Linked DNA regions of Mus musculus: regions 1, 2, 4, 5, 6 and 7 are each reported to be linked to region 3. Evidence: microRNA targets listed by miRTarBase, many of them from high-throughput screens and not tested one by one. Region 3 holds a microRNA gene; each other region holds the end of a gene's coding sequence.

The links. Region 3 holds the annotated microRNA mmu-miR-335-3p (UUUUUCAUUAUUGCUCCUGACC, at 1,110-1,131, shown strand). A microRNA usually pairs through its seed, bases 2 to 8, with sites in the 3' UTR of a target mRNA and lowers its output. Matches are read on the target gene's strand: a 7mer-m8 pairs with bases 2 to 8, a 7mer-A1 pairs with bases 2 to 7 and ends in A, and an 8mer does both.
Region 1: miRTarBase lists Smyd4 as a target of mmu-miR-335-3p. Seed matches in the 3' UTR shown: 7mer-A1 at 3,031-3,037 and 7mer-A1 at 2,802-2,808.
Region 2: miRTarBase lists Aida as a target of mmu-miR-335-3p. Seed matches in the 3' UTR shown: 7mer-m8 at 2,764-2,770, 7mer-A1 at 2,424-2,430 and 7mer-A1 at 1,809-1,815.
Region 4: the mRNA of Erich5 is a reported target of mmu-miR-335-3p. Seed matches in the 3' UTR shown: 7mer-A1 at 3,025-3,031.
Region 5: the mRNA of Irf8 is a reported target of mmu-miR-335-3p. Seed matches in the 3' UTR shown: 7mer-A1 at 3,107-3,113.
Region 6: miRTarBase lists Hspa12a as a target of mmu-miR-335-3p. Seed matches in the 3' UTR shown: 7mer-m8 at 2,775-2,781, 7mer-m8 at 2,665-2,671 and 7mer-A1 at 1,623-1,629.
Region 7: the mRNA of Sfrp1 is a reported target of mmu-miR-335-3p. Seed matches in the 3' UTR shown: 7mer-A1 at 2,367-2,373 and 7mer-m8 at 1,390-1,396.

What each region holds. Positions count from the first base shown.
Region 1 is chr11:75,404,278-75,408,344 of GRCm38, reverse strand. It overlaps Smyd4 (SET and MYND domain containing 4), which reads right to left. Exons shown (of 11, transcript NM_001102611.1): 11 at 2,640-3,579. The coding sequence ends at 3,426. Among named protein-coding and RNA genes, the nearest start is that of Serpinf1, 16 kb to the left of the region's middle.
Region 2 is chr1:183,322,230-183,326,296 of GRCm38, reverse strand. It overlaps Aida (axin interactor, dorsalization associated), which reads right to left. Exons shown (of 10, transcript NM_181732.4): 9 at 3,896-4,013; 10 at 1,796-3,808. The coding sequence ends at 3,712. Mia3 (melanoma inhibitory activity 3) reads left to right here. Exons shown (of 26, transcript NM_177389.3): 26 at 1-61. Among named protein-coding and RNA genes, the nearest start is that of Gm34102, 21 kb to the left of the region's middle.
Region 3 is chr6:30,740,245-30,744,311 of GRCm38, forward strand. It overlaps Mir335 (microRNA 335), which reads left to right and starts at 1,055; the gene lies at 1,055-1,152. Mest (mesoderm specific transcript) reads left to right here. Exons shown (of 12, transcript NM_008590.2): 2 at 426-580; 3 at 1,897-1,976; 4 at 2,284-2,361; 5 at 2,472-2,608; 6 at 2,770-2,828.
Region 4 is chr15:34,472,547-34,476,613 of GRCm38, reverse strand. Erich5 (glutamate rich 5) reads right to left here. Exons shown (of 3, transcript NM_173421.2): 3 at 2,722-3,804. The coding sequence ends at 3,674. Among named protein-coding and RNA genes, the nearest start is that of Rida, 21 kb to the left of the region's middle.
Region 5 is chr8:120,754,626-120,758,692 of GRCm38, reverse strand. Irf8 (interferon regulatory factor 8) reads right to left here. Exons shown (of 9, transcript NM_008320.4): 9 at 1,999-3,694. The coding sequence ends at 3,518. Among named protein-coding and RNA genes, the nearest start is that of Gm39266, 13 kb to the left of the region's middle.
Region 6 is chr19:58,795,678-58,799,744 of GRCm38, forward strand. Hspa12a (heat shock protein 12A) reads right to left here. Exons shown (of 12, transcript NM_175199.3): 12 at 74-4,067. The coding sequence ends at 3,684. It overlaps Gm41877 (a long non-coding RNA gene), which reads left to right. Exons shown (of 3, transcript XR_877967.3): 2 at 1-4. Among named protein-coding and RNA genes, the nearest start is that of Gm41877, 3.2 kb to the left of the region's middle.
Region 7 is chr8:23,446,270-23,450,336 of GRCm38, reverse strand. Sfrp1 (secreted frizzled-related protein 1) reads right to left here. Exons shown (of 3, transcript NM_013834.3): 3 at 705-4,067. The coding sequence ends at 3,849. Among named protein-coding and RNA genes, the nearest start is that of Sfrp1, 37 kb to the right of the region's middle.

The DNA.
Region 1 (4,067 bases), not on the chromosome of region 3:
AGCTAAATTTTGCCAACTGGCCCTATTTATTTTTTGAGAAAGGTTCTTATGATGTACCTGGCTAGCCTAGAACTTGCTATGTAGACAATGCGGGCCTCAAATTCAGATGTCCATCTGCTTTGCCTCCTGAGTTCTAGGATTAAAGGCATGCACCACCATGCCTGACATTCAGTCCCTATTTTCTGAGACAGGGTCTCATATAGCTCAGAATGGCATTGAACTCCTGCTCCTCCAGCCTCTACTTCCCACATGCTAGGATTATAGGCATGTGCCATTATACCTGGCAAAGTTTTATTTTTAGTTATGTGCATACATATGTGTCCGAGTGTGGGCACATGCATGAGTATAGCATGAGTATAGTGCTTGCAGAGGTCAGAGCATCAGATCTCCTTGGCGTAGGAGTTACTGGTGGTTTGAGCTGCTTGTCACTGAGGCTAGGAACTGAACTTGGATTTCTTGTAAGACCAGTATATGCTTAACTGCCACCTCTCTAGACTGCCTATCTATCTATCTATCTATCTATCTATCTATCTATCTATCTATCTATCTACCTACCTATCCATCCATCCATCCACCCACCCACCCACCCACCCACCCACCCACCCACCCACAGTCAGGGTCTCACTATGAAACCCTGGCTGCCCTGGAACTCATTTATGTAGACTAGGCAAGCCCAGGACTCACAGAGATTTGCCTGCCTCTGCCTCCTGAATGCTGGGATTAAAAGTGTGCACCACCTTACCGAACTTAAATGCATAGTTTTGTTTTATCCTTTTTTTTTTTTAATTTACTTTGAAAGATTTTCTTAAAATTCTCTCTCTCTCTCTCTCTCTCTCTCTCTCTCTCTCTCTCTCTCTCTCTCTCTCTCTCTCTGTATAATTGAGTGTAGGAGCTTATGCAGACGACCAGAGGTGTTGGATCTCATGGACCTGGAGTTACAGGTGGTTGAGTCACTCGGTGTGGGTATTAGGAACTGAAATGAGGCCCTCTGGAGAAGCAGTGTGTGCTCTTAGCTGCTGAGACACTTTTTCAGCCCTTTTACTTTTGAGACAGGTGTTTTGTAACCCAGACTCTAGCTCTTGACCATCTAGTCTCAATCTTCTGAGTGCTGAGATAATAGGTGTGTTGCTACCGTGGCTGGCTCATACTAGATTATAATATAAGCACAGGTATTCTCAAGCTAGGTCACATGAGACAATGAAAGAGTTTTTTGAATTTAGTTTTATGTATGAGTGCTTTGCCTGCATTTGTCTGTGCACTACGCACATGCAGTGCTCACATAGGCCAGAAGAGGGCATCAGATCCCAGGAACTGGAATAACAGCTGGTGTTAGCTGCTGAGAATCAAACCCAGGACTTCCAGAAGAGCAGTACATGCTCTTAACCACTGAGCCATCTTACAAAGCATCTAAAAAAAGCTTCCATGCACAGAATAAGGCCTGATATATAAAACGTTAAATATATCCTTTGAGGAAGAGCACCTATTTTACAAAGTGTGACAGGGCTTTTAGGAATAAAACACAAGGCATGAGTTTGGACTAGAATAACTATAGAGTTGTCTGTAGGACTAAACTTTTTTCCTGAAAAAGCTCTACCCCAAACAAAACAAACCTTTCAAGTCACCTCCTTGTCAGGGTAAATTAACAGACAGCAGGAGACTCAAATGCTGCCCAGTTCCCAGTCCGCAAATGTTTGAATACTGTCTTTTAACACCAGCTTCTTGAAAAGCTGCTGCCAGGCACCTTCAGGACTGTTTATTTCCTCACTGTAATGCCATGACAGTCAACGGCTGCTCCTTGGGCATGGCTAGGATGAGCAAGTTCTAAAAAGCAGAGTGTATGGACTTGGGTCTTCTTTCCCACTAACTCATCCAAACAAACTGGTCATCAGCAATAATGTACTAAGGATGAGTCAGAAAACCCCATAGCTATCTGTCCCTTGTGGTCTGGACTATTACTACCCATCCTTAGGGAAAGGGGCAAAGTCCTTCCCTCTGTCTCAGTTGGAAACCATGAGCAGCAGTGCTCACAACCACAGCACTCGGGGCATCTGGAGATGTAGCCTCACAGTCTACCAATGAGTGACGCCCATGGCTGCTCTTGGAATGCCTTGCAGACAGACTCATGGCTCCCCCTGGAGTGCCCTGCAGACAGACTCATGGCTCCCCCTGGAGTGCCCTGCAGACAGACTCACGGCTTCCCCTGGAGTGCCCTGCAGACAGACTCACGGCTCCTCCTGGAGTGCCCTGCAGACAGACTCATGGCTCCCCCTGGAGTGCCCTGCAGACAGACTCACGGCTCCTCCTGGAGTGCCCTGGACTTCATGTGTGAGCCTGAAGAGACATGGCAGTAAGAAGCAGTCTCAAGCTGGGCAAGGTGGCCTTTTCCTATAAACCTAGAACTTGGAAGGCTGAGGCAGGAGGATGTTGTTTGAGGCTAGACTGGCTTACAGAGTAAGATTCTGTCTGCAAGTGAAACAGCCAGAGTGGTCTGCTTTCAGGTGTGCTAACAAGGAGGCCTGTGCTATGAAGTCATGCTACAGGGTTGCCTTGCATCAGTGCTTGGACAGTGAGTGCCAAGAACACTCAATGAAAGCCACTGAGTAAGAATTAGGACACTGGTAGGAAACCAATACAGAGTTGCCATCCCAGGAAGAAACTGCCAACAGTAAGACGTATTTATTTCTCCATTCACAAATTATATATCACCAGTCTTAATGAAAAATTTAAGGAAGCAGGATATTGTAAGTGGAATTGTATGTCTCTTGAGGTAAGCAGTCATACTGATTTCTTGCTATATATTATTTTTCAATTATAATACAAGACTAAGAATTGAAGTTCTCACTGGAGTGGAACACAGCACTTCATTACTACTAGAAACCATAGGAATGTTCCAGGGAAACAGATTCATCGTTTAGTGAGATGAAATCGAGCCAAAAGCCTAGGCTAGCATGAGCTGCCTGCAGATCAGTGACAACCCTTTATTTATTTATTTATTTATTTTTTACTTATTTTTATTTTTTATTTTTTTGGTTTTTCAAGACAGGGTTTCTCTGTAGCCCTGGCTGTCCTAGAACTCACTTTGTAGACCAGGCTGGCCTTGAACTCAGAAATCCGCCTGCCTCCCGAGTGCTGGGATTAAAGGCGTGTGCCACCAAGCCCGGCTGCAGTGACAACCCTTTAAAGCAGCCTTTAGATACTGGATTTAGTCTTTTCTGGGCATGGGGTTTCCATCAGAGGGCAGTTAGCTCTTGCAAGCAGCAGCCAGCATGGCAGGTGAGTGTCTCAATCTGTTTTCAAGTGCTCTCTGTGCCAGACACTAGGCTCAGGTCAGGTGGGAAGGTCCCGTCCTCTCTGATGAGAGCTCCAAGCCAACAGAACATCTCAGTCATCACCAGAGCTCCTTCTTGAGGGTGAGGATGATTGCTCTACACCAAGGGCCCCACAGGGACGAATGACGAGTCCAGTAAGCAGGACCTCATTTCCCGGAGCTCCCGGACCTCCTCACTCTCAGGGCCACAGTGCACCAACAGGATCCTTTCTGCCTTCCAGATGGCACTCAGAGCTTCAGGCACTGCCAACCTGAAGCCAGAAAGGGAAGCTTGTCAGTTCCCTTCCTTAGTCTCAACGAAAGTGGACTCCTTTCTGTGCAGAGAACACAAAGTCGGGTCCACTGCATCCCCCAGGGTCTTACAGGGGGCACAAAGGGTCTGAGTTCCTCTGCCCTCAGGGTCTTACCATCTGAAAGTATAGATAAGAGACATTCACGGGCATACTGCAAAGCAGATTTGAGAAAACTGTGTATGTTTGTGATAGACTCTGGGATCCTGACAAAATTGGGCAAATTCAAAACCTTAACCAGCATTTATAAAAGCTTATCCAGAGCTGCTCACTGTGGAATGCTCGTGTCTAACCCGACTGATGCCCTCTCTCTGATATTGCCCTCGTCTATCAGGTCCTTCGCTCTCTCTGACCAAACATACTGTTTCCATGTCCGAGTATCAGGTCTATGTTTCAAACCCTTTTTCTTACCAATGTATACCATGAGATTTGATCAAGGCTGGAGGTAT
Region 2 (4,067 bases), not on the chromosome of region 3:
AGGCAGGCATATATCTGAGTTCCAGGACAGCCAGAGCTACATAGAATCTGTCTCAAAAACTGAAAGAAAAAAAAAATTATTTGGGCCAATAAGATGGTTCAGCAGGTAAAGACACTTATTGCCAAGCCTGACAGCTTGAGTTTGACTCCTTGGACCCACCTAGTGAAGAGAACCACTTCCCACGACCTACACACACACACACATGCTGCAGCACGTGTGGGGAAAAAATTGACATAAAATTATTCGACCTGGTATTTTGTTGCTTTTAAAACCATTCTTTCGCTAAGGGTGACTAACAAGATAAAAATCATATGCCATGACTGTAAGATCATTTCTTTTTAGAAATGTCTATTCTGTTTTCTCTCATATCACCTTGCAGCTGATTTTCAAGGAGTATGGCAAAGAATCAGGAAGCTGCCATAAGGCAGAAAGATCAGAAAACCAGTGTACATCCTGAACTACGGGCTGAGCTCAGTAACACGGCTGTTGTGAGCGAGGTGAATTGCTGCAGCCGTGTAAGCTGCAGTAATTAAAGCTATAACAAGTGAAAACAGCTCACTGTGACACTGCACTCTCTAAAGTCCTGTGAAGCAATGACTGAAACCAAGGGCACATCATGCCACTGCTGGGAAGTTAAATCCACTGGAGATTTTGAAAAAAATGAGCAAAAGCTTCAATGTGAAATAAAATCTTCGATGACTGAAGACATACAAAGACAGGTTCTCTGAATGCAGGAGGTCCAAGGGAGTAAGAGTTCAGCCTGCCTGACCCCAATCCAGAATTACACAAGATTTTATAAGAAAATGCACAGGAGAGTATATATAATTTGAAACTTTATTTTCTATGCTATGCACATGCATTTTGCTTGCATGCTTGCATGTATGTATGTGCAACATGTGTTGTGTCTGGTACCCATGGGGCCAGAAGAGGGCACTAGATCCCCATAACTGGAGTTACAGGCAGTTGTGAGCCATCATGTGGGTGCTGGGAACTGAACCCCGGTTCTCTGCAAGATCAAAAAGTGCTTTTTAACTCCTGAACCATCTCTTTAGCCACACATGCCATTTTTAACCATATAAAAATAATATTAAATTGCAAACACAACTTCTTGAAAGTATCTGTCAATCTTGGGACACAAAATAGTAAAAATATAGTTTATAATTTTTACCTTTTTTTTTTTTAAAGATAAGGTCTCACCTATATAGTCCAGGCTTGATCAAACTTGCTATCCTCCTGCCTCAGCTATCTTGACTAACCTAAATTTAGAAGGCATATAAAATAAAAATTATACAAGCTAAGAAGACAAATAGTAAAGGTAAACCTTTTTTTTTAATATTCAAAATTAGGATATTCCCTCTAAAGGCCTTTAGTTATTCTATCATCATAAAAATCATCAGAAATATGTGTAGAACCCTCAGTTGTAGCATTTCTGTGCCCTCTGAGCCAGTCGATTACTGCCTTTCCTCAGCCCCATCTGACGAGGCCTGTGCTACAGAAGCCTGTCTGTCTACGGATGGCACAGAGGACAGGATACCTCAGTTGAGTCGGACTCTTCCATTTAAAAGTTCTTGTTTCAGAAGTCCCCTCCCGCTGTTTCTCTGTTGAATAGCTAAAGCTCTTTAGGAAGGAGCCACACCTCACCTTGAAAGCATCTGTGCTAGAGACAAGGCTATTGCTCAGTACAACGGAAACTCAACTTGTGAAGTGGGGAGTGCTTTTGTGTTCACTGCTTTAAGACAATCTTGTCATTCGGGTCTGATTTAAAGCTGAGCTTTAATTTTTTTTTTTTTTTTTTGGTTAGTTGGTTTTTTTTCAAGACAGGGTTTCTCTGTGTAGCCCTGGCTGTCCTGGAACACACTCTGTAGACCAGGCTAGCCTCAAACTCAGAAATCTGCCTGCCTCTGCCTCCCGAGTGCTGGGATTAAAGATGTGCACCACCAGTGCCTGGCGAGCTTTAGTTTTTAATATCATGTTCCACTAAAGTGCTTTATTAACCCTGACGGCAGGCATTTGTGGTTCATATATGCCATGCTGTGTGAATGATCAGTGCTGTAGCACAGAAAATTACCACCTTGCTATTTGTCTTTTATGATCTGTAAGAAATGAGAAAGGACAATGTACAGTCTTTGCTACGTTTTAATAATAATAGGTTTTAAGGAATTAATTTTTATGTCTAGTCAGCAATATCAAACAAAATGTACTGAGTACTCCCCAGGTACAGAGTACTGCCAAGTACCTTAGACCCTTCCATGACAGCTACAACTCTTGCCCCAGGAGCTTACAGCCTGGGGACCTACAACTCAAAGCCTGAGTGGGAGAGTGAGCTAATTTAAGGCAAAAATCTCCTCCCCCTAGAGCTATTATAGATGGGATGATTTTAGCAGTTGGAACTACCCAATCAAGATTAATTTGGTTGTGGATTTTTTTTCAGGTTGAACCTGAAATACAGTTTTTATTAAGCTCCATCTAGTAAACAGTGGCCTAGTAGGTGCTGAATGAAAGCCAAGACTAGATCTCTTGAAGGACAAGTTTAAGACATCTTCCTTGTGGTTATTTACTTGAAAAAGCAAGTATATTGAATGGTGTGGTGAGGTCACTGACATGTGAATATTAAAGTATATGGCATGTCTAACCCACAGAAAGCCCCTCATGAGTCCTAATGCTCTGTGTAACAACCATCCATCATGTGCTTTCAAAGTTTTATTTATGCCTTGTTACACCAAAAGTAAATAGTCCATTCAAAATAAACTAGTGACCTGCATATTTTCATATGGATGAATGACTGTATATCTAAATAGGAAATAAATGGCAATCCTATCTACCTATATTAAAAAAAAATAGACAGTCTTTCCAGATTTTTGCATACTAAGGAGAGGTACGGGGTCTTAAGGTCTCACAACGGGTGGTCAGGAAAGCAGCAGTTATCCCGCAACATCTTGACATCTGACTCAACTGTTCCTAAATGATACAGTTTAAAAGATACTGTAAACACATTTTCAAATCCATAGTTATTCTGAGATGGTTCCAACGTTAACCCTAGAACTACCAGAAAGAATTAGCAGTACAATAGAGAAGAGCAGATAATCCACCTGACGATACACGTGCTCTCTTCAGGAAATCAGTCTGGTCATCCGGGGAACACTCAGGGTGGGATGCTCATCTGGCCAGGTCACACTTTCTATGCAGGAGACCCATGGCACCAGGCTAGGTCTCTTCTAAGGAGACTTTGCTAGGCAATGTAACTAGTCCAGTTCCTCTCAGAGCAGTTCTACCCACTTCAACTCACAGCGTGGCATTGAAACCAGAAGAGCATACTGGAGCAGAAGTGAGCAGAGACGTAGACTCTTGCACATTCTTATTGCTGCATTGTCTGAAGTTCTGCACATCTACAACAGTGCTGTCCGGGAAACAGGGGAGTAGAGGCAATGAGAAAATAGACTATTCATTGCACAATTAATAGAAAAGTGAAAACGTTTCCAAATCTACAATAAACCTGTATCCAAAGGAGTGATAGGTCAGTGATGTGCTGAACTTTTGTTCTGGGGTCCGGCTGTGCAATAGACTCGCTTGGTCAGCTGGCGTGGGTAGGGCTCACTTCCTGCCTGTTGAAGGGCTCACTTCCTGCCTGTTGAAGGGTGATTATGCTACTCAGAGCTATGATGGGTTCTGAGTGGTAAAATTCACACAAGTTCTTGGTTATTTGTATCAGGATCATTCCTTGTGCAAACTTTGATGTAGATGAAGATAAAGTGGTTTCTTGGTCAACAATTGCAATTTCTTTCTTTTAAAGTCAGTGGGTTTCTTGTATCTGAAAGCACAAAAGAAAGATTATTGTTTAAAATATTCTGCTTGATTGACCCCTAAGTTCCATTCATTTGCTATGCCCAAAACTTACAGTTCTATTACGATTGGCCCAGGTTTAATTTCATCCATCTCCATGAAGGCAAAACACTTAGTGCTGGTAAACCTCTTTTTAGGCTTGTAATGTTTGAATTCAAAGAAAATGGCCGCACCTAAGAAATTAAAAGACATATAAACCACGGGCAGCACCTTCTGTGTTAATTAGC
Region 3 (4,067 bases):
TAGCCCAAATGCAGACAGTAGTGCCAAATGGGGATTCACTTGGTCAGAGGATATGTATGTGTTAGAACCCAGGAGCAGCTCTCTGCTTAAGGCCATGCAGTAAGTTACATATGTGCTTGGAAAGAATGGTAGTGAGCTAGTACAGTGACTGCCAGATGTCAAAGGGTAAAGGTGTTTATCACATTCTTCTTGGTAAAGTTTATGCCATTGTCACGTTGGGTGGGGAGGTGTGGAGTGGGGAAGGGAGGGGTGAAGTGGGGAGGGGAGGGGTGGAGTGGGCAGGGGAGGGGTCGAGTGGGAAGGGGTGGGGAGGGGAGGGGAGGGATGGGGGGTGGGGTCAAACCTCACAGTGCCCAGGTTTCCCACCCATGTTTCATTCTGATTTTTGGAAGTGTACAATGTTACCTTGGCTGCTTTTTCCACAGGATGAGAGAGTGGTGGGTCCAAGTAGGGCTCCTGGCTGTGCCCTTGCTGGCTGCGTACCTGCACATCCCGCCCCCTCAGCTCTCCCCTGCTCTGCACTCATGGAAGACTTCTGGCAAGTTTTTCACCTACAAAGGCCTACGCATCTTCTACCAAGGTGAGAACTGGGCTATTGGAGAATCCCAAGGACGTGGGTCGTGTAGGTTTCAGCTGAAGTTACTTATTTTGTGTCCCTTGGTCTGTTGCTCCACAGTGAAGGTGAGGTGAAGGTGGGGGTAGAATTGTGCCTGGTAGTAATTGCAGCCCCATTTGTATTTGAGAAATTACTTTTCTCTTTTGAGCGCCCCTAGTGTCAGGTAAGCTATATAGTATTTCGAGATCTATCTATACCTTTGTTTCCCCCACGCCCCACCCCATTCCCAAATTCATGCACTATTTTCCGTGATTTGTTATATGTAGCTGATAAGATTGACTTGATGACTGCTATTTAATTACCACACTCAGGATATTCAGTTATATTTTAACCTTCATTATTTCATTTTTCACTTAATTTTTACAACAGCATTTGGAGATAGGTGCCATTAACCTCATTTTATAGCTGAAGAAACCGAGAAACAGATTGGAAAAGATTTCTTTTGGGCGGGGGTCAAGAGCAATAACGAAAAATGTTTGTTTTTCGTAAACCGTTTTTCATTATTGCTCCTGACCCCCTCTCATGGGTTATAGCCAGTCGAGTAAGTATGCATTTTTTTTTTTATGTTGGCTTGTTGTTCTTTCCCAGACTTGATATTCAGTGTTACATCTTATTTGCATAGGTTCTTTAGGTTAAATCCAGTATATGATATTTTAATTGCTTTTAATTAAATAATTTCTGAAAACATGCTACCAAAGTTTTATTCCACTAGCAGTATTAATTTCAATCCAGTACTGTTGGCAAGGTATTTTATTGTTTGAATAATCTGAAATATGTCACATACAGAAAAAGTTCCCATCACTATTAGCCCATCTTTGTAACAGTTTGATTTTTTGAGTTGCATGAATTCTGCTAGTATATGGACAAATGGTATAAGCTCAGGTGATCCACTGGGAAGAACTGTCACATCTTAGATATTAGGTGTGATAAATATTGATTAGGGACAAAGAAGTTTTAGCTTGCTGTGATTATAGTATTTTAACTGTTTTTCCTTTTTATTTAAAAATTTGAGTTTTATATTAATGTCAGCGAAAATATGAGGATGTCTACACAACTCTTAAGTGATGATGAACAAACTGTTTTAAGGGTTTTCATGTAAAGCATGCCATTACGATTTAAAAGCGCAGATTAGGAGGAAGCTCCTGAAGTCCTGTCAGCTTGCTTTCTAACACAGCATGGTGATGTCATTCATTTAGTCTGATCCTTTTGACTGGATTAGATTTTGGTGTCGTCAAGGCTGCCTTGCATGCAGTTTGCCTCATTTCTCATTTTCCTCCTAGATTCTGTCGGTGTGGTCGGAAGCCCTGAGATAGTTGTGCTTTTACATGGCTTTCCAACATCCAGCTATGACTGGTACAAGGTAATAATGTTTCTAGGTCTGGCTTATGTCCTAAAAAAAATACTCAAAACTCAAGATATTTTTTTTGTTGTTGTTGTTGTTCTGGTCAGCCCTAGAATTCTTTTGCAGATTTGAACTGTTTGATAAAATCTCATTAAATGTAGAATTGCTTTTTATGTACTGTAAGGGGAGTAAAATACTGACTGCAGAAAGGGACACTGCCAAATTAAAGCTGGAGTTACGCTCTCCGTACAGTGGCATGCAGGCCTGTTTGCTGTGGGGCTGGGCAGTGGGAGCAGAGTGCTCACCATGCTTGCTTTCTTAACAGATCTGGGAAGGGCTGACCCTGAGGTTCCATCGAGTGATCGCCCTTGATTTCTTAGGCTTTGGCTTCAGTGACAAGCCGGTAAGCAGCAGCTGGGTGTGGTCCGTGATGGGGGTAGGTGGGTGGGTACAAATGAGGGTCTGGCAGGCACTGCTAACATCATGTTGTATCTCTGGCTTTCCTTTCCTCAGAGACCACATCAGTACTCCATATTTGAGCAGGCCAGCATCGTAGAGTCCCTTCTGCGGCACCTGGGGCTCCAGAACCGCAGAATCAACCTGCTGTCTCACGATTATGGAGATATCGTTGCTCAGGAACTGCTGTACAGGTCAGTGAAACCGGACTTCTGTCCTCTGCACAGGTGTCGTAGCTTTAGATAATGGGAAACTCAAGTATTCTGGGACCATCACACCTCTAGGGGTCGTCTGCAGCCCTTGTGGGGAGTCAGTTACTGAGCTACATGTGTCTTTTTTTCTTGCCCTGCTCCAGGTACAAGCAGAATCGATCTGGCCGGCTCACCATAAAGAGTCTCTGTCTGTCGAATGGAGGTAATTGCCTTGGTGGTAGGTGGAAAAGTAGGGTGTAGTTTCAAAAAGTCACCCTTTTAAGTCACACAAGAAAAAAAATTTAAAAATAATCTGATATTATAAACAGACACCATATATCGGGCATCTTTTACCTTCATTGTGCCATGAGTAGTTTTCATGGTTGATGGTATTTATGGAATACATATTTTCAAATCTATAGCAAATAAAAGGATAGCCATGATGGCAGGAGCCTCAATGGGTGAAGGGGCTTGTTGCCCAGTCTGTGGATATGACTTTGATTCTGGAACCCACGTTGTGGGAGAAGATTGATCCCTCTGGGCTGTCCTCAGACTTCCGCATGTGTCTTGGCACGAATATATACATAAGCACAATGAACACACATTTTTGTTGTTGTTGTTTGTTTCTAAAGAGCCAGGTGCAGTGGTGCACACCTTTAATCCCAACACTTGGGGGACAGAGGCAGGTGGATCTCTGAGTTCAAGGCCAGCCTGATTTACATAATGAGTTCCAGGACAGCCAGGGCCTGGAACCCTGTCCTGAAAACAAAAACAAAAACAAAAACAAAAAATAAAGGAGCTATCACAAATGTGATTCTATTGATCTGGCTGGTAAGCTACATTAATAAACTCTTAATTGGTGGTAGTGCCAGGTGCCAGCTGGGAATGAGTCTTACCATTTGGAAGTTTTGGGATTTTGTGTGTGTGTGTGTGTGTGTGTGTGTGTGTGTGTGTGTGTGTATCTTTTCTATCATGGAGATGCTCATTAATCCAGAAATGCCCAAATGCCCCAACCTGAATGCCTCCAGGGCAGCCTGGGACAAGGGTAGTGGGTCCGTCCCTTTATCAGTGGAAACAAAGAGTGATTTTTCTTTTACAAGAGCCTACCTACAGAAACATACACGTGTTTGCAGATGAGCTTGTTACTACCACTGTGCTCTGAGCACTGGGGTGAGCTGAAGGGAGTGTAAGCATAGGCAGCCGTGCGTGCGGTATGGAGGAGCATATAAATTACTCTCCATTTTTGTACCTTAAAGCGAGAAAAGCAAGCCCAGCGTGTGGCAATTTGTCTATTAAACAGAGCACCTTGTAGTAATTAGCAGTATAGTCATGCCTCAGTTGGTACATGCGCATGCAGTTCTGTGTTGCGTATGAGTTGTTGTGCAGTGCCTCGCTGTTTGTACTCATAATTCTGTTTTAGCAGCAGAGACTTCACGTGTACCAGCGAATAGGTACAGTCGCT
Region 4 (4,067 bases), not on the chromosome of region 3:
TACCTGGTTATTTTGTTTTTGGTTTTTTTTGTTTTGTTTTTGTTGTTGTTGTTGTTGTTGTTTAATTTAAAAGAACAAACAAGTTTCAGGCTAGAGAGATGGATCAGTGGTTCAGGACACTTAATACTTTTGCAGAGGACCAGAATTCAATTCCAAGACTTCATGTCAGGTGCCTCACAACCTCTCTTAACTCGAACTCCAGGGGCTCCGATCCAATGCCCTATTCTGGCCTCTGTGGACACCTCTATCCATGTGTACAGAAACACACACACACACAGAGAGAGAGAGAGAGAGAGAGAGAGAAAGAAAGAGAGAGAGAGAGAGAGAGAGAGAGAGAGAGAGAGAGAATTTAAAAATAAATCTTTTGTGGGTGGTGGTGACACAGAGAGTCCGGTGGATCTTTGTGTTCTTATGTTCTAGGCCAGCCTGGTGAGTGAGTAAGTTCCAGGGCTGCAGTGATCAACCCTGTCTCAACATCTAAAAATAAATAAGTAAATCCTTAAATTTTTAAAAGATTTCTAATATCTTAGTAGCCACATTAGAGATAAAAGTATAGAAAGCACAAAAAATATACAAATTTCTAAAGCTAGGAAAGTAATTGGATGGCTAATAGAAAGTAAAGCATTAGAAGGCAATCTGTAAAACTTTTATTTTAGAGCTATAGTATACTTTTTGAGAGAGTGTTCTTTCAAGGATGACTGTTGTATAAACCTGCTCTGGGATCACACAGCTGTGATCTCAGCACTCAGGAAGTGGAGGCAGCAGGACCAGGAGCTCAGGCTCAACCTTCAGGAGACCTTGTCTCAAAACAACATTTTAAGGAAGAAAGGAGTTTTGAGCTGGGAATGGTAGAAGAGACCTATAATTCCCGCATTCAGGAGGCAGAGGCAGGTGGACATCTGAGTTCAAAGGCCAGCCTGGTCTACATAGTGAGTTCAAGGTTAGCCAAGACTACACAGTGAGACCCTGTCACATAGACACAAAAAGATAGGCCACCCAATGAAGAATGGACTTTTGTGCTTGTGCCTATTAATTAAATGTGTCCATCTGAGTGCTTGCTATAAAGAAGATTCAGCTGTTAAAATAATCTCTGATAGCTGGATCTGGAGGAACATACTTTTAGTCCCAGCACTGGAGACCTGAGTTCAAGACAGCCAGAGTTTACATGGGAGACCCTGTCTCAAAAAAATTACCAAAAAAGGAATGGTCACAGATATTTTACAGTAAGCCTTTACATTTAACTTTTTATTTTTGATTGTCAACTATTAAGTACAATATGTTATAGTGATGTATATGTATGTATTCTGGAATGGGTTTGTCAAAAATATCACCACACACACCTGCTCTGACACTTTCTATTTATCGACTCTCCTAATCAGGAAAAACTAAACAAATGAAACTTGAAATATATGTTGTATAAAGTCTCTACTGAGTTTCTGACCTAAAAACCTTGCTTGGGGAACTACTCTGAACATTGAGCTTGAGCAATTTTGACAGGAAAATGGATTTCCCCATCTAAGAGATAGAGCTGGGGTAGTGCCACACAAATTTATATTTCCAATATATTGTTTCTTGGTATTCAAACATTGACTCAATAGATAGAGGATCTGTAAGTAGTCTATTGAGGGAACCAAATAACTGAATTCAAGGTTACATAGAACTACTTGCTCTTAATGAGAGCAGTCCAACTTCTACTTTGCAATAGGCTATGTCATCTGTTAGGAACTGCTCTTATCTATCTGGGTGTGTTGCAGAGGCATGAGGTAACTCTGACGTCAGAACACTGATAGTACACTCCCCTCCACAGTGTTACACTTAGTCTTGGCTCACCTTAAGAGGTTTTTATTTTAATGTAGACACTAAAGCAAAAGATGCTAGTTGGTTCATCTAAGTGGTAATCTTAAGATTATGTATTCCTAAAATGGTAAATTTTTCCATAAACCTACCTTGAAATTCATAGACACAAAGCGCTTAATAAAGAACAAGTTAACTGCCATATTGTAACTCACACACAATCATCAGCAGAAGTCCTTACTTGCTTTGGAAGAATTCCAAAAAAAAAAAAAAGACTTTCTGTGGTACAGAAATGTTTTTAAAATCTCGACTTCTTAGCTCTTTTTCACCTAATGCTAATTTGCAGTCACTTAAAAGAAAGCAGAATGTAAATGGAGAAACTAACTAATAAAAAATGAAATGAAAAAAAAAAAAAAAAAAGAAAGCAGGCTCAGGAAGATTACATATAAACAGTAAAGCTGAGCGAGGGCATTTTGGGGTTTTGTGTTTTTGGAGTTTCGTTTTTGTTTTGCCTTTTTTTTTTTCCCCATGTGTCTGCTGTGCATGTACACATGTTCTCATATGTGTGGAGAAATGTGTGTGCACGTGTGTGCAGAGGAACACAGCTGATGTTAGAAACATTCCGAGATCACCGCTCACCTTATTCTATAAGGCAGCATCTCTCAGAAGAACTCACGGTTGGCCGGAAAGATCAGGCTCCCTAGCCAGCCAGCCTTGAGGATCCCTGGGCTGCATTCTAGGCAGGATTTACAAACAGCTTACATACCCACCAGAGTTGTTTCTGAGGATCCAACTCCCATTCTTTGCCTGGCAGCAAAAACTTAGCAAACTGCTAAGCTGTCTCCACAGCCCTAAAGCTAGGACTGACTTAATCCTTGCTGGTTGTGTTCCATTTGTTTTTGTCTCAGAAATTCATTGAAAGTCAAGTGATTTAAAATTATTTTACTGCTAGTAAATCACATGAAAGAGAAAGAAAGAGAGAGAGATCACCAACACTCCCCCCCCTTAAGTATAAAATCACCAGCCAATTCAAAATGGCACATGGAAAATGTGGACTCTTTAACTGTAAAAAATCCCAAAGCTTGCAACAGCACCCCAATTGCATCCCTCCAGAAATTTTTGTTAACATTTAGTATGCCATGGGTCACAGTGATTTGTAGTAGTAGATAGATTTCAGGACAGAAAGTAGTTAGAATACAGGCTCCCTGAGGTTCCTTTCTTTCTGTTTTGTTTTTCAAGACAGGGTTTCTCTGTGTAGCCCTGGCTGTCCTGGAACTCACTTTGTAGATCTGGCTGTCCTCGAACTCAGAAATCCTCCTGCCTCTGCCTCCCGAGTGCTGGGATTAAAGGCGTGCGCCACCACGCCCGGCTCAGTCAAATTTCTATTACAGGACAGAAATATTAGGTAGAGTTGGTCCTGTGTTCTGGGGTTATTTAATTTTGTTCCATCACTATTATAACTGCAAAACTCTCTTATCATGAGTTCCTTAAAGTTTGCTAGTTCCTCTCTCTAGACACCTACATTTAAAGGTTTGTACTTTCCTTTTAGGGTCTCATTTTATCCTGAGACCTCATGGCTACAAGGGTGAAGATTGCCTTCTCTCTCTTAGATGATCTTACAGTTTTGATTGGCTATGGCTATTGTCACTTTGAATTCATAATTATCCTAAGTATCTAAGAAAACCGTGTCTGGCTTAGCAGTTTTATGGTGTAAACAATAAAAGAAAACAAACAAACAAACAAACAAAAACAGCATTGTTCTCTTGGTTCCTACAGTCATTTTAAAACTATACTCCTTGTATAAACCACAAAGCCGCAGAAAGGTGGTGCCCGCCCTCCCAGCCTCAAATATCCCTGCCCTCTGGTGTAACACTGCACACTAAGCCCTTCTGTCACCAGCCCCTGCTGCTCCAAGATCCACAGCTTCTCCTGTTTCTTTCTCTTTAGTTTCAGCTTCTTCACTTTCTTTCTCATTTTTCATCTCTGCTTCCACCTTTTCTCCTGTCTCACCTAGAAAAAGCAACCAAAGGAAATAATAAGAGATGCTTGCTTAGCAGTGTGTCCTGGATAGTTTTTTGTCAACCTGATACAATCGAGCATTATTTAAAAGGAGGGAGCTTCAATTGAGAAAATACTTCCATAAGATGCAGTTCAATGCATTTTCTTAATTAGTGATCAGTGGGGGAGGGCTCAGCCCATTGTGGGTGATGCCATCCCTGGGTTGGTGGTCCTGGGCTCTATAAGAAAGCTGGCTGAGCAAGCCATGATGAACA
Region 5 (4,067 bases), not on the chromosome of region 3:
TCTGGAACTCACCATCCTCCTGCCTCAGCTTCTGGAATGCTTGGCTTACAGGAGTGCACCACCACACCCTATTAACAATTACATTATTGACATAGTTGATTGACACACACACACACACACACACACACACACACTTACTTAACCATTGGCGTTGTAGCGTGTCAGCAAGGACTATTTAATATTTATAGTTCAGCTCTCTAATCACTCCTGGCTTAATTACAGATGAGTGGTAAACAGAAATACGGTTATTTTGGGTATTTTCTGAGCGGCAGGCTCTGCTCTGTGCTCTTCGGGCCTGTTAAGCCTCTTTGTGTGTGGTATCAAATCCCTCTCGATGGTGAGGGAAATGGGAGACAGAAGCATGATGAGTGGAACCCTAGCCTGTCCTCTGGCCACACAATCAACCCTTGTCTTTCACCGGCCCAGCCAATACCTCACACAGCAGGCACCCCAGGGCACTTGCCTCACCCCACCCTGCTCTTCCCTCGATGTCTCTAGGGTCCTTGTCTTCTGTGACTGGTATGAAGGGAAGCAGAAAGTTTGTTCTGCTCAGGTGGACCTTGCAGACATTAGGGAACTAAGTAGCCACTCAGAGTCATGTTAACACACACTAACCTAATAAGGGTTTTATATGATCCCAAGAGTGGTGGTTAGGTAGCTGGCCTTTCCTTCAGGACCAAACAGTCTCCACCCAGAGAAAGTCACATTCCTTTGAGGACCCAAGTCCTGTCCCAGGAGGCCCCAGCCTTCAGAGATGCCAAATTCCCTCCCGCACTTCAGGGAGACAGCATCCACTCTTGGCCCAGAGGTTGAACTCTGAGAGACACAAACAGGACTGGATTCACTTTGCACATCCAGAGAGGAGCTGTTTATACACAAGACCCCCGTTGGAGCCCTCTGAAGCCAACGGGACTCCCTGCAGAAATGGCTGCTTTACTTTGCTCTGCAGTCAGCTGTCCTCTGGGCCAAGGATCTTGCAGAAGCTCTAACTGCACTCCCGGAACAAGGGAGGCCTCACTCAAGCCAAACATGGCCCTCTCCCGCACTTTCCACATGGGTAAGCTGGGACTAACTGGCCCTGTCTCTGAGATCCCATGAGAGCAGAGACAGTGCACACTGCCTCAGAGACAGCAGAACTAGCAGTCTGTGCCCACCTGCGGTGTGGGGGTGGGGAGGGCCTTTGTTCCCAGTTGCTACTGAAATGGCCCCTGGGCTGGTTATAGCACCAGTGAGGGTCATTCTGAGCCGGTGTCTGGCATAAGTATGTGTGCACGAATGGAAGATCACACCTCAGCGCTATGACTGGTGACCGTCCCACTAATGCTTCTAGAAGCTTCCAGAAGGGTGCTGTCAGCATAGTCTCCTTCCTCCATGCCCTCCCATGCTGCACGAGGCCTGGGCTCACTGAAACCCTAATCTACATCTGGTAGAACAGCGTGGATTGCCCGCCCTCTGTGCTCTCCTGTGTCTGTTATTCTCCAGAGCTTTCTGCTATTGTCTTAAGAGAAGAAAAAAAAATCCCTAAATCCTTGAAAATCTCAATCCATTATTTCTTAAAAGTAAATTAAAGATTTATTTTAAAGATTCCTTTAAGGATTCACAGTGACTCACACCTCTCCTCCCCTTGCTAAGGAGGCTGAGGCAGGAAGATTGCAATGAGTTCAAAGCCTGGGCTGCAGAGTCAGATCTGGTCTCATTTTTTTTAAAGACTTTTTAAAAATAAATTTACTTTATGTAGATAAGTACACCGTCGCTGTCTTCAGACATCCCAGAAGAGGGCATCAGATCCCATTACAGATGGTTGTGAGCCACCATGTGGTTGCTGGGAATTAAACTCAGGACCTCTGGAAGAGCAGTCAGTGCTCTTAACCACTGAGCCATCTCTCCAGACCTCTGGTCTCGTTTTTTAACATCAAAATTTAAAAAGAAAAAAAAATCCTGGAATCTAATGAAAACTATATTCAAAAGTGATTTTTTAAAAAAAGAAACAAACATTACTTTTGTGAAAGAGCAACTTTTTTTAATAAAGGATGAAATCAATACTTCTTAAGAGAATACAAAAATAAATATTTGGACACTAGCACTCCTTGAGGCAGGTGGAAGGTGACATGTGACAAGGGGCCTTGTGAACAGGTTGTCCTGGCTTCGGAAGGGACACTCCTGCTTTGACTGAGGGGGAGAAGCAGGGGCCCAGGATTCTGTTTGCATGTATCACACACTCCAAGGATTCTGTTTGCATGTATCACACACTCTGTCGACCCTGTCTGTTGAGCAGGCCCCACCCAGCACCTTCACACAGTAGCCGGGAAGGTCACCGTGGTCCTTAGCTTTTCAGGTTGTAAGGTATGGCCTGTAGCTTGTAGCTGCTCTGGACCCTCAGGCTTTTCCCCAGAGCAACAGTCAGCAGGTAAGGCTTTCCTGCAGTTCCCCAGGGAATGCAGAGCACCTAGGCTTCTCTAGCTGCGTGGAGCATGTAACCCAGCTTGTTACAAAGTTGAACAAACGGAGAAGCTCTCCTTCTCTCAGACAAAAGCAGATGATGACTCTCCCTGCCCCCACATCTGCTTGGCTTTCTGCCCCTGTTGTGTACTGACCCTCAAACTAACTCCTTTTCAGCGGCTCCCTCCTCCGGGAAGTGTCCCTTAGGCGGGGCTATAGTCACTGATTTAGATTACTTACAAACTAGGTTGGACAGCCAGATTGGGGGCGCAAATGGTGCGGTAGGGGGACATTCCGCTCTGTGCCCACTGGGTAGGGTGTGTGCCTTTCCCTGGTACGTGGGTGGGCACTGATGAGCCCAGAGCACAGTTTGGACGTGGCTTTTCACTGGGTCTTAGGACTGGGTATGGAGCTGGACAAGGAAGGGTGAGATGCCAGTGAATGGGTCTTCTCCACAGTGCCTGGTCCTCCTTTGATGCCCCACACAGCCCTGTCAGCTGACACAGAGTCTGTGTGAATCAATGAACCACAACCAAAATTCCTGCGAAGGCTGCAAGCAGTATCTACACCCATATTTAAAATCTGCCCCACTTTACAGGGAAGGTCTCAAGTGATTGACAGCTGAGCCTGTGAGAATACAAATATTGTCTTAAAAAGAGTTTTTTTTTTTTTCAGAGTTCTGGCCAAAAAGAAAAGAAGCTGAATAGTAAAGATTCTTCTTCTCCAACCAAGCAGAGAAAGTCATAAATCTCCGCCCTCGGCCGCAGAAGGGCAAAGGCGAGTCTGCTGCCACCAGATGATTTGAACTGTCGAAAGACCTCAGCACACAGAAAGGCCAGCCATTAGTGGTGAAGGGGGAAACGCAGGAAAGGAATGCTTTAATCACAGGTTGCGGCCACAGCCCCTGCAAGCTTCTGACACCTGCCTGAGCAGGAGCGCATCCCTCTGTGGGCTTCCGGAGGCCCCTTGGAGGACACCCGCCCACCCCAGTCAGAGGGCTCCACATCCTTTCGGAATTCTCTTAGTCACAGACTCTTGAAGCTTGAGCTCAGGCGAGGTGGGGTGCCCGGACTGAGGCTTAGACGGTGATCTGTTGATTTTCTCTAAAAAAGGGTCTCTGGTGTGAGGTACAGATATCCGGAAACATGCGGAAAGCCTGGTCCGGCTGGGGCTCCTCCAGGGCTGGCATCAGGGAGCCAGCACCGCAGCTCTTGCCCGCTTCCTCCACCAGCTGCCTGGCATACAGCTGCTCTACCTGCAAGGGCCATGTGCAAAGTCAGAATCAAGGTGGAGGGGAACTGGGGCCATCCTCCACCACAGGTCCTCCAATCCCCTCCGAGACAAGATGGAGCCAGGTGGGCAGCGTTCCTGCACATGGCTAAGAGTGTTCTCCCAGAACTGCTCCAACCAGGCTGGCTGCTCCTCAGACTGTCACCATTACATCTACAAGAGTGCCACCGTTCAGACCATAGTCAAATAGACCGTGATCTGTCACTTAGATCTTAGGGCCACTGGACAAGCAGAAATTTCCTGAAGAGGGAGGAACAGGAGAACAGAGGGAGGGAAAGTAGGAGCAAGCAGAGAGGGGAAGAAGGAAACACAAATGAAGAGAGTCCCAACGTGGGAAG
Region 6 (4,067 bases), not on the chromosome of region 3:
GGAGGTGAGCCAGGAATGATCCCCCTACAAATCCACCTACACCCCAAATGAGAAAAACGATTCTAGGCCGTGTGAAATTGAGAGGTTTACTTTATTAGAATCTGTGAAGACAAGAGTTTGCAGACACAATGCTGTCTAGTTGTGAACTGCTGCAGAATTCTGTGACGTTTGGATCTATCTTGTAGTGAACAAGCCTCCCAGTGGTTGAGATCTTAGGATATTGTTCCATATTGCAAGCAGATGAGAGGTGTTAAGAGATATTATGGCCATCAACTTTTATACTAGCCATCCACTTAAGCCATTCCCCGGCATACGTACTGCGCAGCCTAATCACAACTATTACGTCACTACAATGTGAAGTTCATCTTCGATTAATAATGCATTTTTGACTCCTGTTTATATTGGTGCATGCAATTCTTTGCTACCCTGGCAATTAACCAGACCTGGACTCTAAAAGCTAAACTTGGTCTAAGTAACATTCTAAGGGCGGGGCAGGCTCTGTAACCTGGACTCAGCCATGGCTCCCTAGAACCTCTTCTGTAGCACCTCCTCTTCCCTCCTGCCTGTCACTCTGCATTTACGAATGCCTGCTGTGTCCTGGAAAGGTTAGTTAAGTGACCAGATAACCTATGCAAAGGACAATCGGTCAAGACCACAGACCTTCTGGAACTTTCTAAGACTGGGGAATGTGTTCCAGGTGTACTCTTCCAGTGTTCCTAGTAGGATTATTTCAGTCAGGGTAGGGATAGATTGGAGATCTTTATACTAAAAGAGTTTGGCTACTGGGACTGCATCTCTGGGTCCAAAGGAAGTCCAGTGAAATCACACCCTTTCCCCATCATCAGTTTGCTAACAGTGCAGATTTCTATCAGCTCGCTTAAGCAACATAGGAGGCAAGGAGATAGGCAGACATACGGTAAGGAGTGCTTTGTTAGCCAGGACAATAAGGGCTTGAGTACATTGCTCCCACTCATTCGACCCAACGGAAACCTTGGCCCATGGAGTACTTGGTTCCTTTGATCATGAAGCACGCCACTCTGCCAGACACAAAGCGTTTTGGTAGGCATCGCTTCCAGAACCAGTACGTTCAGCTCTCAAAGTCTAGACGGGAGAATTGCTACATTACTCTTTATGCAGACCGTTCAGCTTTGGGTAGGGGTGTGCAGGTGTGGAGGGGTCTGATGAAGCTGTCATCTGGGTTAGTCTGTGTGATCAGAGTATTCTGACCCAAGGCACCTCTGTCTATTGCTCAGTCTCGCATGCATCGTCCACTGTGGGGTAACAGCACAGACAGCAACCAGTGAGGACAGTTAAGAAATGAAGCTGTGGAGCTTACAGGCAGCAGCGTTATTAACCAAAATTGCGAGTATTTTCCCTTTCAAACAAGCACAAGTAGAAATAAAGATTTTATACAAGATTCTCGCGTTCTATGTACATAAAATTATATCCATTATAACAAAATCGAAAGTCTATTTGAGGACTGTGGCTGGAAACACCCATGAGCTTCTGAAGCAGGGTTAGCAGGAGTCCTAGAAAGCAGGCATCCTGAGGTCTGGATTTGAGACCCTGCCGTCCAGTTTGGGGTTCCCATTCGCTTGTTCTGTGGTTTGATAGCATTTTTTTTTTTCACATTCTGGCAGGGAGTTCTGCGGCAAGCGGTGTGGAAAAGAAGACAATAGGTTGAAATTCAAAATGCTTTTTAAAAATCTGCATATTGGCTATGATGATGGTTCACAAATCCAACTTGCATTTGAAGTCCCTTCCCTCATTCTGTATCTGTCCATCCATCCACCCATCCATCCGTCTGTCTGTCCGTCTGTCCATCCATTCATTCGCCTGTCCATCCATTCATTATGCATGCTTCCAGTGTTTTAAATCAGGATGAATTCCAGCAGATAAGAAAGAGAGTTCTGAAGAGATAAGAAGGACTATGAGTCAGATTCTTGATTCTTTACCCTCATTTGGCTCTTGAATGTTGAATGTTGGCAAGTCTAGCCTTGCACAGGAGGAGGAACACAGAACCTGGCCTTGGGAGGCTTCTTTTTCGTGGTTCCTCTCCTGCTGTCTTTTTTCCTTCTCTGATCCTTCCTGTGGGGGTTAAAAGGGCAACAGCCTCCGAGGGCAGGTGGACCTCCAACCCTCTTACCTAGAGAGCAGAGTGTAAGTACAGGCACTCTTCCCTGAGGGAAATCTGACAGGGATTGTTAAGGCCACACACTGTGGTCTGTGGTCACTTCAGCTTGGAGGGAATTCTCACATTCCAACACTACGACTGCAGACCCAGAGTCTGGAAGGGATTAGGTTCAGGACCCTGCTCCTGACAAGCACCAGCGATTCTGAGGCTGGAGAGCCACAGGCCTGCCTTCACGGGTCTAGGTTTACGTACTGCTTTTAGGTGAATGTGAAAAGCTGCAGGTTTGATGGAGACATTTCATGGAATAGAACCTCCTTTAATATTTCCTTATGGTGGGATTAAGAAGAGGGGGAAGGAAAGGGTTAACTGAAAATGTGCATGGTTGGCAAGGCTGTTTTGAATTTTTAGATATAAACAGAGTAAACTGAAACTCTATTTTCTCCAATTAAATTTCTGCTAAGGTCACCTAGAATCATGCATGATCTCTGAACTCACGCTTCATTGTTCTGAGAATCACTTTCTGATCTGGGTTTTCATTTACTGGGTTTTCAATTAACTGGGGTCCAAAAATGCACAGCGGTGTTGTGTAGTAATCAGATATACTGAGATAGACCAAATTCGTATACATTTTATCAAAGTGTTTTCATCACTGTCCTAATTTGTCATTAGTCACTACTGCTAATCTCTTACTACTTTATTAAATTGAACTTTGTCCTAGGTATGTATATGTAGAAAAAACATAGTGTATAGATAAGGTTTGGAACTATCTACCCATTTGGTCATCCACTCAGGAGTCTCAGAATGTATACTCTCCAGAGAAGGGGGTACTGCTGTAATTTGGGGTACCTCACTAACTCTTCAGTGTACAGGTTCCACCAAAGCAAGTTTGACCTGCTCTGGAAAATCAAGGCATCCACACTCTTACCCCGACCCCCATCCTGGTTGAGTTAGCCAATGTTGCCCTAGCCTTCACTGAGCCTCCTTGGAATCTAAATTATATGAGAACATGGTGCCTGGTGTAGGCGGTCTTCTCCCACCAGCTTAAAAAACAAAGAATACTGTAAGCTGCCACTGAGTCACCTCTGTGAGTCCCACCATAAAGAGAAGGAATTAACTCTGCAGGAAGCTGGTATTTCCTATTCACAGCCATCCAAGATCATTTTAAAAGACCTCCAATGAATGTTTCCCCCACCCTACCCTGCCCCCGGCACAGAGTGGGCGTCCTAAGCCTTCCCTTTCAGAGCCCTCTTCCAAGCAGGCTGCACCCAGTCCTCACTAAGGGCTGTTTGACCACCCAGGAACCCGTGAAGGCTGGCTGCTCTGGGGATCCTCAAACTTCCTATTTCCACGTCGTGATATTGATTTTTGAGGTTTCTCTTGCTCCGGTGAACCCTCAAAAAGAATCCTTAGTTCATCTTCACTCTGGTTCATGCCTACTGAAATTCAGGTGGGCAGTGGCGAGGGTCAGGATCAGGGACAGAACAGTCAGGCTGAGGTCAGCAAATGCAGATGAGTCCCAGGGGGCTGGTGGCCAGGAGGGACAGTTACATTAGTAATTTAAGAAGTCGATCCCCACTTTGACACTCTTTGAGGTGGTTATGTCGACGGCCGTGGCCTTGATCTCAGTGTCCCCGAACTGCATGATGGTCTGGATCTCTCTGCGGGCGGGAACCGCTGTGCCGCCGCTCCCCGTGAGATCCAAGCGGAGCGTGCCACACTTTTTCACCCCTGGGTCAGTGATGAAGCTGACGTTATCATGCTCAGAGCTGTAGATGTTGATGATGATGACCAGCTGGGAAGGCTTGGCCGGGGTGTAGCTACGCTTGACCAGCTCCCCCAGAGCCACAGACTGGTCGGCGGAGATGAACTTGTCGAAGACGTCGGTGCACCAGCGTGTGCCGTCCTTGACCAATAGCTTCTCGGGAGGGTGCTT
Region 7 (4,067 bases), not on the chromosome of region 3:
TTAAAGTCTTCATTTCTTGCCTTTGAAAGAACGCTGTTGCTGTGCCTGGATGAAGTTTTGATGACTTGGGCACATGTGGAGAAAAACTACTAAGTTGTTCTGGTATGGAAGTGTTTTTTGACCAGAGGGCACCATCCAGTGGAGCTATCACTACAATGGAAGAGGCCCAATGCCAAAATGAACAGCCTGGGATCAGCAAAATGTGTCACTGTGGATACAAAGGTGGGTTCAGCAGAGAGCTCAGCCCATACGGCCAGGATGCTGGGACTGTGGGTTCTAAATCTAGCTGCGCCAGTGACCCAAAGTCTTCTTGGCAGTCCCTGCCATGTCATATTTTATTCTTCAAAGTCCCAAATGGGACCACAGCACCAAACATAAGCCATTTCTTAAGTTCTCGCTGGTAATTTGAACGTGAACTCTAAAATGGACCTGTCGGGTGGGGGCATCTGAAACATGGAGCAGAAATGTTTGGCAGAACTGAAACCCACACAGACAGACAGACAGACACCAGGCTTATACGGAGATGGTTAGTGGGGAAGGAGGGCAGGGAATGCCCGTGCTCCTTCTCAGGTCTCTTCCACCCCATCCCACCCAGCTAGGACCAGAAAACACCACTGAAGCAACTCAAGGGAGCATGCCGAGTGGGAGGGCATCGGGGAGTGGGGAGTGGATGACAGGGGTTGGGTCAATCACAACTCACGCTGTTATTGATCGAGTGATTTTAGTGAAGTGAATACATTGGCAGGGAAAGCATGAAAACAAAACACACCTGGGAATCACTATTAACATACGTGATAACATCAAAACATCTGGTCAAATGTAGTTAAGAAACAACAGGAATGAGAAGGAATGTAAAACATCTTCACAGTATTCAAAGCTTTTGTATAAAAGGCTTAGGCTATAAAGTGGAGTCCTCAGGGGGTGCGAGGAGGGGGGAACCAGGGCCAACAGGAATTCCGTCTCTGCGCTTAGGACCCACAGCGCCAGGTCAGAGCAGCCAACATGCCATCCTGGAGATGTGACCCCGGGTCTGCTTCTGGAGCACATCTTGAACCACGTCCGGCTATGAAGGTCCAACAGAGCATCTGGTTACAGGGAGGCTAACAAGATAAAACAGGTTCTAGCTTTGGGAAATGTGATTTCTGTAATTTACACATTCTTAGGAAGCCTGGAACTGGGCTTAGACTCAGCCCCAGGGAGGACCTAGTGCTAACCCACCAACCATGAGCTCTGAGGATACAGAATGTTTTAAAAAGCAAACATATTCTTACAATTCTTGCCTCTCAAGTCTATTTTCTAAGATAGCTATTGATAGTTCCCAAAAGTTTGGTGGGTTTAGCTTTCCCTGACTCTCCGGAATGACTATTTTAAAGCTTTCCAAATCTGACCTTTTCATTGGCAACGCTGGTCAGAGCGCACATGGACCACCTCCATTGGAAGCCAGGGACAAAGCTAATGAGTCTGCACATTGGTTTGTTACACCTTTTGTTGAAAAGGACAAAGGCTGCTGATCATGCAGCTTTCGGGCCCCTAGATAGCCTCCCTTTTTGTCTGGAACTGCTGATGTAGTATAGACAAAACTGGTCTGTGTGTGTGTGTGTGTGTGTCTGAAATCCTCACAGGTCCGCAACAAAACTCTGAAGCTGGGGACTCTGAAGTAAGGGGACAGACAGCTGCTGCAGTTCACATGATCAATTGATCGATCAATTGGTTATGAATCCTTCCTGAGGAAGTTACTTCCTGAGGGTTCCCAATCTGGAGCCCCCCAGAACATGTCCTCCCTTTTATGCTGTGAAACTGCTAACATCCCCAGGGAAAAAAAAAAATCATGTAGGCAGTCTCCCGCCACTCGGAGAGGGCCCTGCCACATGATACACTTTCCCAAAATGAGCAGACCCCTCACCAAGCACTGAACTAGTAGTGGCTCAAGGCCCAGATCTACACACTCAGGAGACTTTGCATTTCAGTTATGGACAATGAGGTTAGACTATTTCTAATTACTAATGCACATACATATTTTTAAATCATCCACAATGATAGGCAAATCACCTAAGGTTCCTCATAACATTGTGATTAAGGTTGGAAGTATTCTTAAAAGGGTTAAGATAATAGGACTACTAAACATGAAGTTAATTAGGTCACTACCCCACTCAGGTCAGTAACTAAGTTGGCATGGTGAGTTTTCAGGCTGGAGTCTTTCAGAAGTAACCAGAGTTTTCCTGTTTCTGGGTCAATCCAAGGCCACTAGATGATTCTTCAAAATCATTCCTACCTCTGGATTGAGTATGCCAAAGGGACAGTCACTGTAGCCCCATGGATGCGGTGGGGAATTATCAGACTTTGGTGGAAGAAATTAACTTTTTTTTTTTTTCAGAACTACAGGGACAACAGGAGTAAGGCTGCCTAAGAGAACTGGAATATTTACATCACTTATTAAGCATACCAACTTTGAGAAATACCTCTGGGCACTTGGGAAAGCTGCAGATTAGTTAGCCTTTGAAACCATCTCCTCGGATAGGGCACTTTAGCCTCAAAAGAATATGACCGGAGGAATGCAAAAGTAAAGGTGGAGGGCTCAGGCAGGCAGCGATTTTAAATTTGTCTGAATTATAGGCAATCATGTATAAGGAAAAGGGCTTTCCTTGCAGAAAAGCAGAGTCTATGGATACTGTCTCCTTCCACAGCTATACTGATTCCTGGGCAGCCAGGCACAGCCATGAGGCCCATCTCCTCCACAGCACATGCACAGAGTTGCCTTCCACAGCACATGCATAGGCGGTGTATTAAGAGGGCAGCCTTGGGCAGTCAACGACGTTAGTCTTTGAAATGCTGAGTGTGGACTTTTACTCAAGCCTTGGAGGGTATGTGGGCTTTTATCCCTGTCTTATGCTGCTGTTCTTTTGAAATGTGACAGATGGAATTACAAAGTGAGGCTGTTGGCACAGGATTCCCCCAATCACCCTGACTTGTGACCTGCTTGACATTTCTACCTTTGCTCATTTCTTCCACTCTATTGTTGAAAACTAGTAGCTGTTGGCTTCTCAGCCTGAAATGCCTCATGTCTCTTCATGCCCACGTACCTCCTTCATACAAAAGCAGACCCTTGCCTGGCATCCTTGTATCCCGATGGACTGGTAGAAGTGTCCATCTGAGACCTACAGTTTCCTATCAAAGGTGGCCAGTTCAAAAGCTGAAGGTAGAGTAGGCAGTGGCCTCCCACCCAAACCCTTAGCTATCCCGTTCTATACTGGGATACCCTGGCTACTTTCAGAAGTGTGTGTGTGTGTGTGTGTGTGTGTGTGTGTGTGTGTGTGTGTGTGTGTGTGTGTTTTGAAGGTGGCGATGGTCTATCTAAGGCAGAAAGAGGGGGATTAATAATAAACTGAAAGCAGCCTGGCTTGGCAATGATCAGACTCTTCTACCTGTAGAGGCTTAGACTCCACAAGCAATTGGTAATGATGTCCCGAACAACGTTGAGCTGAGCAGCTGTCCGTCTGCAGTTCTTTACAATCCGTTTTGTTTTGTTTTTCCAAACCGGCCAACATTTTCTGTTTTTTGTGCCCGAGGCTCAGTGAAAGGATTCTGCCTCTCCTTTTGCACCGTGCCTGCTGGCCCTGCTGCAGCCCTTAAAAAAAAAAAAGCCTTCCTAATCTAAAGGGCCGTGGCCTTAGCTGGATGTGGCTATGGAGGGAAGGGAGAGGGTTCGCTGTAGGAACAGAGCCAGGTGCAATGCAAAAGCCACAACTGTAATGGGTGAGAGCAATATGTGAGCCCCCAAGAGCCAGGGTCATCCACGCGCCCCCACCCTCACCCCAAGCCACACTCCCCTTCCCCAGTCCGCCCCAGTATCACTTAAAAACAGACTGGAAGGTGGGACACTCGTGGTTTTTCATTCTCTTCATGAAGTTTTTGAACTCCTTGTTTTTCTTGTCCCACTTGTGAATGGCTGTCAGCAGGTACTGGCTCTTCACCTTGCGGCCCATGATGAGAAAGTTGTGGCTGAGGTTGTCCAGCTGGTGGCAGGGACAGTCGGCACCGTTCTTCAGGAACAGCACAAGCCGCTTCAG